2 linked regions of the Caenorhabditis elegans genome follow. The protein of the gene in region 2 interacts with the protein of the main gene of each other region in a biochemical or structural test. Each region holds a gene or a part of one and is shown on either strand. Other genes may lie near its edges.

Region 1 (5,980 bases), about 15 Mb from region 2:
ATGATACATTTTCTAAATTTTAGAAATAGAATAGCAATACAATATTGTCATATTTCCTCTACATATCATTATGTGAAACTATTTTTCAAAAAATATATTACTTACATTAAAGAAGGAGTTTGAAAATTAAGATTGGAGGCTTTACTAATAAAGTAAATACAGAAAGCTTTGGCAGGCAACGAGTAGGTGATGGCCGGACATGTAGGTAGGTAGGTCTAGGCTAATAAGCGGGAAGACACCCCTAAAAATTCCAAACATTCCGAAGCGGTGAATTAATAAATTGATTTTCTCAAAAATTTAAACATTGAAAAAAATATAATTTTTCAGAAAAAAATAATCTCATAAAATGGGTTTTTTTGTAAGTGTCGAATTATATAATTTCGGTCTTATTTGATCTTTTCCTCAGGAAGCCACCCGAAATAGCCACAAACATCATCATCAGAACAAGAACTATTTCAATTTCAGTGATAACATTCTAGTGCCACGTTCTCGCCCGCCTTTCCGCTTTTATTAATTGAGGTCAGTAACTGAAATGATAACAGAATATTTCCGCTTCAACTTTATTTTTAACTTTAGACATTGGGAAAAGTTTGATGGGAACATAAAGTGAGAGGGTTTTTTTTTGGATTTTTCTGAAAGTTTCAGAGAAAAATTGAACAACAATTAAACGTATTTGCAAAAAAAAAAAGATAAAAACTACTTGGATAAATGATTTTTTTTTTTGGTTTTTTTATTGGTATTATCGACTTAATAGTCTTCCTCTTCCTCGGCGGCTTCAAGCTCTTGCTGAATCTCGTAGTCCATTTTCTTGATCACCTTCTCGTACAATGCCGGTGGTGGGGCAACTCCTGGGAAGCATGGGAATGCGATTTTCTGGAAATTAAAAAACATGGTAACAAATCGAATAATTTTGAATTAAACTAGGTAAGCTGAAAATACAAAAAATTAGGAATATAACATACCTAACCAATTTTAAATTTTCTAATTTTTCTATTTTTTTGGTATTCCAAAATCAGGGTTTTGTAAATTCTCAGATAAAAACCAGCCCCCAATTCAATTTTCAAACAAATGTTTTAACTTACGTTCTCATAAACCTGACGGCGCTCCTTGAAGTTTCTTCTGTCGATTTGTCTGTCGTATTTGGAAGAGATTTGGACCTTTGGCTGAAAATAATTTTGTTAGTTATTATAATTTGTCTATTAATGCCAAAAATCCTAATGAACATACTGGATGTCTTCCTCCGGTGTCGTCTCCGCTGACTTGTCCGTTCTTGGCGTTGTTGGCACGGGCCACTTGACGGGAACGCTCATTCAATTCTTTCAGCTGAAATTTGCAAACTTTCCGTATTTTCAGTGGTTAAATTGTTAAAGAATCTGCCTATGCTGCAGCCTATCTAGGGAACCATCAGAAGGTGCCCATCGGACTTACATATAAGACCTATGCCATTCGATAGCCCATGTCTTAAAACGGTTACTCGTGAATTTTTAGCTGCGAATCTCCAGAACCAAGCTCACGGCGAGCTCTCAAAGATCCTAAAATAGCACTGTAACGAAGCACTGTAACGATCTAAAGAAGAAATTTTCTTAATTATCTTTAGTAGCTCATATCTCGGCGGATAAATTTTTTACAGAAAAGTCATCAACTGATAAGTTGTTGATCTTTTTGTAAAGAACAAGTTTGTAGTTGAAAGTTTTTACCAACAATTTTTTGTATCAGATAAAAACATTATAATAGCAGCAATAAAATAGTAACAACAGTTGCCGCACTTCACGCGCTTCTATCTGAAACAGAATTTTTTTGGTGGAAAACTTTCAACTACAAATTTGTTCTTTACTAAAAGATCAACAACTTATCAGTTGATGACTTTTCTCTAAAAAAATTATCCACGGAGATATGAGCTACCAAAGTAAATTAGGAATATTGGCCATTCAATGCTTCATTATAGTGCTATTTTAGGATCTTTGAGAGCTCGCCGTGAACTTGGTTCTGGAGATTCGCAGCTAAAAATTCACGAGTAACCGTTTTAAGACATAGGCTATCGAATGGCATAGGTTTCATATGCAAGTCCGATGGGCACCTTCTGATGGTTCCCTAGTAAGCCAATCAGTAAGTTTTGGCCTAAGTCATAGCCTAAGCCTAAGCCTAATAAGCCTAGCTACCGCTCGCCACTTACGCCAAGCCTAAGCCCAAGCATATGCCTAATCCTAACCCTATTCCTAAGCCTAGACTATGCCAAGCCTAAACATAAGCCGAAGCCTAAGACTAAGACTACTTACATCGTACTCCTGTCTCTCGTGTCTCTTCTCCAAATCGTACTTCTGAGCCTCCAACTTGCAGATTCTTTGATGAAGCTCCTTGATCTTGGCCTTCATATCATTTGGAAGAATGGTGGAAGCCTCGGCGATCGACTTACGAATACCGGCCATGGCGACCGACTTAGCCTCTTCCTGTTGTTCTTTGGTCATTCCCATCTCTTGTTTGGCCTGCACGATGTTTCCGAAACGATCTCCAACTCCGGCGGACTCTTCCTTCTTCTGGATGACAAAGTTTCTTCCACCCTGTTGTCCTGGGAATCCTCCACCCATCATCTGAGCCTTCTTCAGCTTCTCCTCTTCCTTCCTCTTCTTCTCCTCTTCGGCACGAGCACGACGCTCCTGCTCCTCCTTCTGTCTACGTTCCTCGTCGAGACGCTTGCGCTCGGCAGCTTCACGCTCTTCTTGCTCTCTGGCGAGCTTACGCTGAGCTTGCTTCTCCTTCAGCTTCTCCAACTCTTCCTCTTCCTTTTCACGTTCGGAGCGACGAGCCTTCTCGTAGTCTTCCAACTTGGCCTGTTCGTCGTTCTCGTGACGTCTCTTGGCGGCGAGCATAGCCTTCTCACCTTCATTTAGAGCTTCTCCGCTGAAAAATGCATATTGTTAGGGTAATTTATTTTTTCAGAATGTGATGATTTAGTAGTGTCTCAGTGATTTTATAGGGTTAGATATTTGGCATTAATTAATTTTTTTCAATTTAGGATAGCAACCGACATTTTTCAGGGCAAATTGTTTTTTAATGAGGCTTTGAAAAAATAAAATGTTCCGGATATTGAGATCTCTCTCTCATTGAGATCTCGATTTCCGTTATATGTCGGCTGCTCTTATTCCTACACTAGCCATTGAAAGTGTGCAGCCGACAATTGAGAAACCCGAGGTTTGCCAGCTGCCTTCTACAAATTGCCGGATCCCGTATAATGTCGGCAGCTCATACTTCATAATGACAGTCAGTAAAACTTTGCAGCCGACATCTCGAAGGTCAACAAAAGTGCATGCCCGACTTCACATGATTTTAATGATATTTTGGTCCCGTAATATGTCGGCTGCTCCTACTTTATACAAAAATACAGATGTGTTCTCATCGGATACTTCGATTCGTCGGTTGCTCATTTAAAAGTAAACTATTTCCAAATATCTGACCCTCTAACCCACTCCAATATTGCATGGATAATGGAATTGTGAAAAGAAAGAAAAAAGTGCAAACAGTGATGCCGTAAGTGTATGTGCTTGAGTGCGAAGAAAATAGTGTGGCCGAGCGCGGAGACGCAGGCTTTTCAAAAGTTTTTCCACTCAACAGTACTAGTGATTTGATTAGAGAGATCACGGCGGTCTTGGATAAGAAAAGCCTAGTAGTTTTTACTATAAGATAGGAAAGAATTGAAAAAAAGAAGTACTCGAAAGAGACAGGAGCGTGCGAAGAAGCAGCCGGTGTTGCTGGACCACCGGTTGCCGTGGTGTCGACAGAAGCTCGCTTGAACCTTTCTTCCTCTTGCTGCTCGGTGTCCTCCTCCTCTTCGGCTTCAGCCTCCTCGACCTCCTCGACTTCCTCCTCTTCTACCTCCTCATCCTCGTACTCGGAGCTGGAATTTTAAAACTTGAAATATAACATTTTTTAAATTTCAACTCACTATTCCTCGTCAGACATGTTGATTGGTGAATTGGTTGTAAAAAAAACCCCTGAAAAAATGTAAAAAATCAAAAGTTAGGAAATGAAACATAAATTGGAAGCAAGGGGAAGAAGAGCAAGTGTTACATAGTGTCTTCAAAGTTTGCCCACCCCAATGAATTCCAACAAGTGGTAGTGGGGAGGCGGATCTCGAGTTTCGGTGGGCGTACAGTGTATGTTAGCTTTCTTTTCTCATCCCGCAAACTGCGCAAAAAGATCATGGAAACATGAGAGAGATTTGGGAGAGTATCCTGGCAAATCGCGGGTAAGCTCTCTTGAGAGCTACCTGTGTGTACAATCATGTCGCGATCGGTGATGTGCTCTGGTGGAGACAGGGGAACTGGTGGTAAGTGAGCAGGAAAAAAAGTCAGGAAGTGATGGTTAGTCAAGGATCTGAAATGGCTAACTCATGGATTTGGATCAGAAATTTTAAGGATTCCCCTCTAAATTCAATGCTTACAAGGGAAGTCGAAAAACTGAACCCCGGACTTTGACATGCCATAGTAATTTTTCGATAAAAGAGTGAAAATGATGATCTCTCCAAGAAATTTAGCTGCCCCGGTCCAGGTTCAGCAAAGTTATGACGTTTTGAAAGTGGCTAGACCACCTTTTTAAAAAAATTTCAAAAATTTCAAAAAAAAATTTTTTCTTCTGAAAAGTGGAAAAAATATCTGTAAATGATTCAAAACAGCGAAAAACATATGCCATGCAAGTCTTAGCTCATAACTCTCAAGAAAACCCATAAATTAACCTATTAGGTCAGTCAATAAGTTTTGTCGCTTTTTCTCATCTTTGATTTTTTCTTAGATATTTTTTTGTGGTTATATAGAAGACTGTTAGTAATGATAAGCCCAACAATATCAGCCATATCGGACTACTCCCAGATATTTTAAATCTCAGAACTGTGATGACGAAAAAAAAATTTTTTTTTCGATTTTTTTTTATTTTTCGGCGAAATGAAAAACTTTATATGCCCTGATGTATTAGACAGTCAGTTGAATAAAAATCTGCAGTTGACGCCCCATGCGTATCTTTTTGGTGGCGCTACACTCCTTAAAATGGCCAAAAATGCTTGCAAAAATGACTTTTTAAAGTTTGAAGGGCGCTAACTTCCGGAACGTGCAAGATACAAAAAAGTAATCAATTACAACATTAATAAGCACATCAATTACTACATTTTATCAGTTTACCACTATTTCCTATCTGTGCCCGCTGCTAAGTTACAGTCAGTTGAAACAAGCTAAGTCCAAGTTTCAATAAACACCCTTTTTCCAGATTTTCGCCTGTAACTCTAAAACTACTTGTTTGACAAAACTTTTGTCAAGAGCTGAAATAATTAAATTTTTATTTTTCACATTTTTGTAGTTGAAAATTTTGTTATACATAAGGTTTATGCAAGAATATTACTCATCAAAGAAAAAAATATGCGTAGTTTTTTAAAAATGGAAAAATACTCCAAAGTTCTATTTTTCTCTCCACTAAAGTAAAGCTGATAAATGAAAGTATATGCAAAGTTTTAGTTAAAAGTAACTTATTCATTTTCAAAAATGTTTAGGCCTTTTCCTCTGAAAATTTTTTTAACGAAATTTTTTCACGATGATTTTTGAAAATTTTTATAAAATTGGACGAGCTCGCTTAATTGTCTCATATCTTTGCCAACACTTAAGATATAACAAAACTTTCAACTACGAAAATGTGTAAAATTAAAAGGAGATTGTTTTATCTGTTGACAAAAATCTTGGAAAACAACTGGTTTTGGAGTTACCGGCAAAAATCTGGAAAAAGGGTGTTTATTAAAAGTTGGACTTGGTTTGTTTCAACTGACTGTAACTTAGCAGCGGGTGAAGATAGAAAAAAGTAGTAAACTGATAAAATGTAGCTCTTGATATGCAAAATAATTTTACAATTGATTATTTTTTGGTATCATTCACGTTTCTGAAGTTACCGCCACTAAAAGTTAAAAAAAATCATTTTTGCAAGCATTTTTGGTCATTTTAATGAG
Region 2 (3,575 bases):
CCATTTATTCTCCAAAAGTTCATTTTGCACAATGTGCTCAGTACGTGGAAATCGGGATAAAACTGAAGTTGCATTTTCTGCCGTCGCCGGTATGTTTTCTTTTCTGTTGTTTTTTTTTGTTTCGATAAACTTTCCCACTTTCCGCTTTTTCCGCAACTTAATCATATTTATTTTTAGAAAACCATCATGATTTCTGTCACTTTCCGTCAAATTCTGGGTCTTGTTTCTCTACTGTGTGCCACGTGGCTTTACAGCCAATGCAGACATATTTGGCTGCTCGCCCAGGACGATTTCAACGAGCAATTCACGAATTTTTTGGGTGAAAAATGGTGGAGCACGGATCAGTTGGAGCTTTGTGATGATGAGACAAAGGACACGAAATGGCAGAAAAATGGTGAGTGTCTGTGTGTAATCGCGCTCCGTTGATAATTTTATATTTGGTATATACCGTTTTTTTGTCCGCAGAGCGCGCTTGCAGCAAGGCTACTTAGCAAAATTTGGGGGTTTATCAGTTTTCAAAAGATTTATTTCAATTTCTCTCCATTAACTTTCATAAGTAGCAATGAAAAATGCGATTATCATATTTAATTTTTTTTTTGACAATAAAAAATCAATAAGCTCAAGCACATAAAAATCTACAAAAAGATCACCACTTCTTATTCCTCTTCCTCCTCTTCTTCCTCTTCCTCTTCGGCTTCTGGCTCTTCAGCTGCTGGCTCGGCGGCTTCTGGTTCTGGCTCGGCCTCTGGCTCGACTGGAGCAGCTAGTTCCACTGGTGCAGCCTCTTCTTCCTTCTTCTCTTTCTTGGACCATTCTGGTTTTCCGTCGGCGGTTCCCTTCTTCTTTGCCATGATTTCGTCGAGGTCCGTCTCCTTTTTGACCACTTTCAGGTTGTTGCGGAAGTTTGATTTTTCCTGAAATTTATTGTTATTTGGTGGAAATCAATTGGAACAATTTGAGAACTTTAAAAAAACTAAAATGTTTTTAAAAAGATATCGGAATATTTTTCAATGGAAATTTTCAGTCAAATTTTTCTTTCCGAAATTAAATAGTGGTTTGCCGTGTTTGAGTTGAGCATTTTAACATTTTTTTACACAATTTTAACGCATTTTTGGTGTTTTCTGCATTTGGCACGAAAAGTTGTTGCAACCGACAGTTCACGGGAATTAGCGAGCTTTGGGTGATCCCCAAAGATGTCGGCTGCATCTGTTTTGCAAACGCAATAGTTAGATGCCCACATTTATAGTTTGCAGCCGACACCTAACTGGTCTGTTCAAAAAATTTCAAAAATTGTCTTGCAGCAGCCGACACCTAACGAGGCTTCGAAAAGTTTCTACAAAATTCATTATTTCCAATCTCTCACCTTAACTTCTCCGGATGACTTGAACTTGTTGTCGTACTTGGACACCTTCTTCAATGTTGGCTTCACAAACTTTCCTCTCAAGTCATTAACTTGAATAGTCAACTGATTGATCTCTGCCTCAGTCTGGGATACTCCGAAGTTGATATCGAACTTCTCCTCCTCAAGAGCACAAACTCTGGCGAACATATCCTCATAGATCTTCAAGAGTTGTCCCTGATCATTGATCGAGTCGACGTCTGGAAGTGGGATAGTACGCTGCTGAAGGGTCTTCTGACGTTCTTGCTCCTTGAGCATTTGCTGTTGCTTCAAGTCCTCGGCGGCTTTCATCATGAGAAGTTTCTGGAATTATTCTGATATCTAAAAAGTTACAGCCAAGGCTTTACTCACTCTAAGCTTCTTCTTTCTTTCTGGAGTCAAGAAACCCTTCTTCTTGGATCCCTTCTTTGCTGCCTCCTCCATACGCTTACGGACTTCGGCTTTCTTGAGCTCACGCTCTTGAGCCTTGCGGGCGGCATCCTGAAATTAATTTTAAGTAATCTGAAAATTGAGCAACTTCTTACGTCCTCAACATCAGCCTGAGCTCCGCCGTAGCGAATGTTCTCGTCTTCAATCAGCATTTTGGCGGGGAAAAATGACCTGGAAAAGTTGATCTGTGAGAAGTGGCAAGCGGGGCGGGAAAGAGAAATTGAGCAATAAATCTTGATTAGTATGTGTGCGGAGCAGGAAGGAAAAATAATAGCATATGGAAGAAGTTAGTAGAGAAATGGGATTTGAGAATTAGAACAAAGAACATAAAATGTTCTGAAAGATACTACGGTAACCTAAAGAGGCCGACGCAGCCGACCGGTGGCGGCGGCGGCAAACCCGGGAAATGTCGGCTGCAAACTAATTTTCAGTATAGGCTTAGATATCTGCAGCTGACACTTAACCGGGTGTATTTTGTACATTTAAAGCATCGAGACATTTTGTTGAACCCGGCAGATGTCGGCCGCAAGTTTCCATAAAACAGAGGTTTTTGTAATTTTTTCCAGCCAAAATTTTAAGACGTAATAGATTGTGAACCCGGGAAATGTCGGGTGCAAGGAAATTAATTTATATTTAGATGATACGTTATAGCAGCCGACACATAACTGGGTTTAGCGGAACTTTGGGAACCCGTGAGAAATCAGCTGCAAGCAGCTTCGATAGTTTTTAAAAAGTAAAATGTTGTCGCCGACATTGATACAATTTAGTTTAACCCAGGACATGTTGGCTGCAAGAAAGTTTTGCAAAAAGTGTAAAAAACAAAAACAAATCTGCAGCCGACATTGAATTGGTTTTCACAAGACCAACAGTTTCCAATGCATCCGACATCTCACAGGGTTTTCCAAAATTCTATTAAAGCTTGCTGCAGCAGACTGAATTTTACGAAATATTCACAAAACCACAATTCATAATGGCAGCCGCAAAAAACCCGGCCGATGGCATATTAATCAGGCTAGACAAGATATACGGTAAAAAAGTAAGACCTGGAAAATCAAAAAGCATGACGTAATCTGATCACAACGAATGGCAGAATGAGTGAATCAGGAGGAGAAGACTGAAAACTAAAACCAAAGTTTAAAACATGTTTTTCCTGCGGAACCCCCTCCCTCCCTGTTTTCCCCTGCTCTCCGCCTCCATCTTGTACTCTCTCTCTATCTCCCGTCTATAACTTTTGCTCCTACTGCTGATGCACATATTGCATACGAAACAAAACGAAGAAGCGAACAGTGTAATAAAACAGGGCGAAAAAGAATGGCGGAGGCGGGCAAGAAGCACTAGTGAAAACGGCGGTAATTCAAAACCCATCATCACTTTTTGCCGCAAGATAGAAACGACATGTGTGTGTGTGAGCCTAGAGCTCTCGGAGCTCTCACGGGAAAGCTTTGGGAATACTACTTACTTTTCTTTTTCTGTGGTAGAAAATGTGCTAGGGGAATTCGGAAATTAGCAGGAATTCCCCGGGGGAATCCCTTTTATCAGACCACCGGTGCCAATCAAAATGAGGATCAATTTGCAAAAAAGAGAGATATCAGAACAGTTGTTGCCACCACATCAATTGTCGCAAATTTTGAGGTGGCAAAAGATTGATGATTGGGAGAAAAATGGGAAGTCTGGAGGTCAATTTTGGGTTTTTTGAACATTTTTTGAAAAAAGTTAGGAAAATTTCGGACTTTCGAAGTTAAGTTTC

The links. Proteins that work in one complex are often made in the same cells at the same time.
Region 1: the proteins of tni-3 (region 2) and tnt-4 interact in far-western blotting, tested with the Caenorhabditis elegans proteins (one study listed by BioGRID).

What each region holds. Positions count from the first base shown.
Region 1 is NC_003283.11:1,988,930-1,994,909, forward strand, and holds tnt-4 (Troponin T, skeletal muscle), read right to left. Parts: upstream 3,985-5,980; 5' UTR 3,958-3,984; coding exon 3,941-3,957; intron 3,893-3,940; coding exon 3,707-3,892; intron 2,899-3,706; coding exon 2,277-2,898; intron 1,324-2,276; coding exon 1,228-1,323; intron 1,164-1,227; coding exon 1,083-1,163; intron 874-1,082; coding exon 748-873; 3' UTR 546-747; downstream 1-545.
Region 2 is NC_003283.11:16,833,130-16,836,704, forward strand, and holds tni-3 (Troponin I 3), read right to left. Parts: upstream 2,000-3,575; 5' UTR 1,981-1,999; coding exon 1,924-1,980; intron 1,880-1,923; coding exon 1,751-1,879; intron 1,703-1,750; coding exon 1,364-1,702; intron 915-1,363; coding exon 657-914; 3' UTR 509-656; downstream 1-508. Other genes in the region: phy-3 (Fe2OG dioxygenase domain-containing protein), read left to right, coding at 187-394. UniProt on the Caenorhabditis elegans protein: Troponin I is the inhibitory subunit of troponin, the thin filament regulatory complex which confers calcium-sensitivity to muscle actomyosin ATPase activity.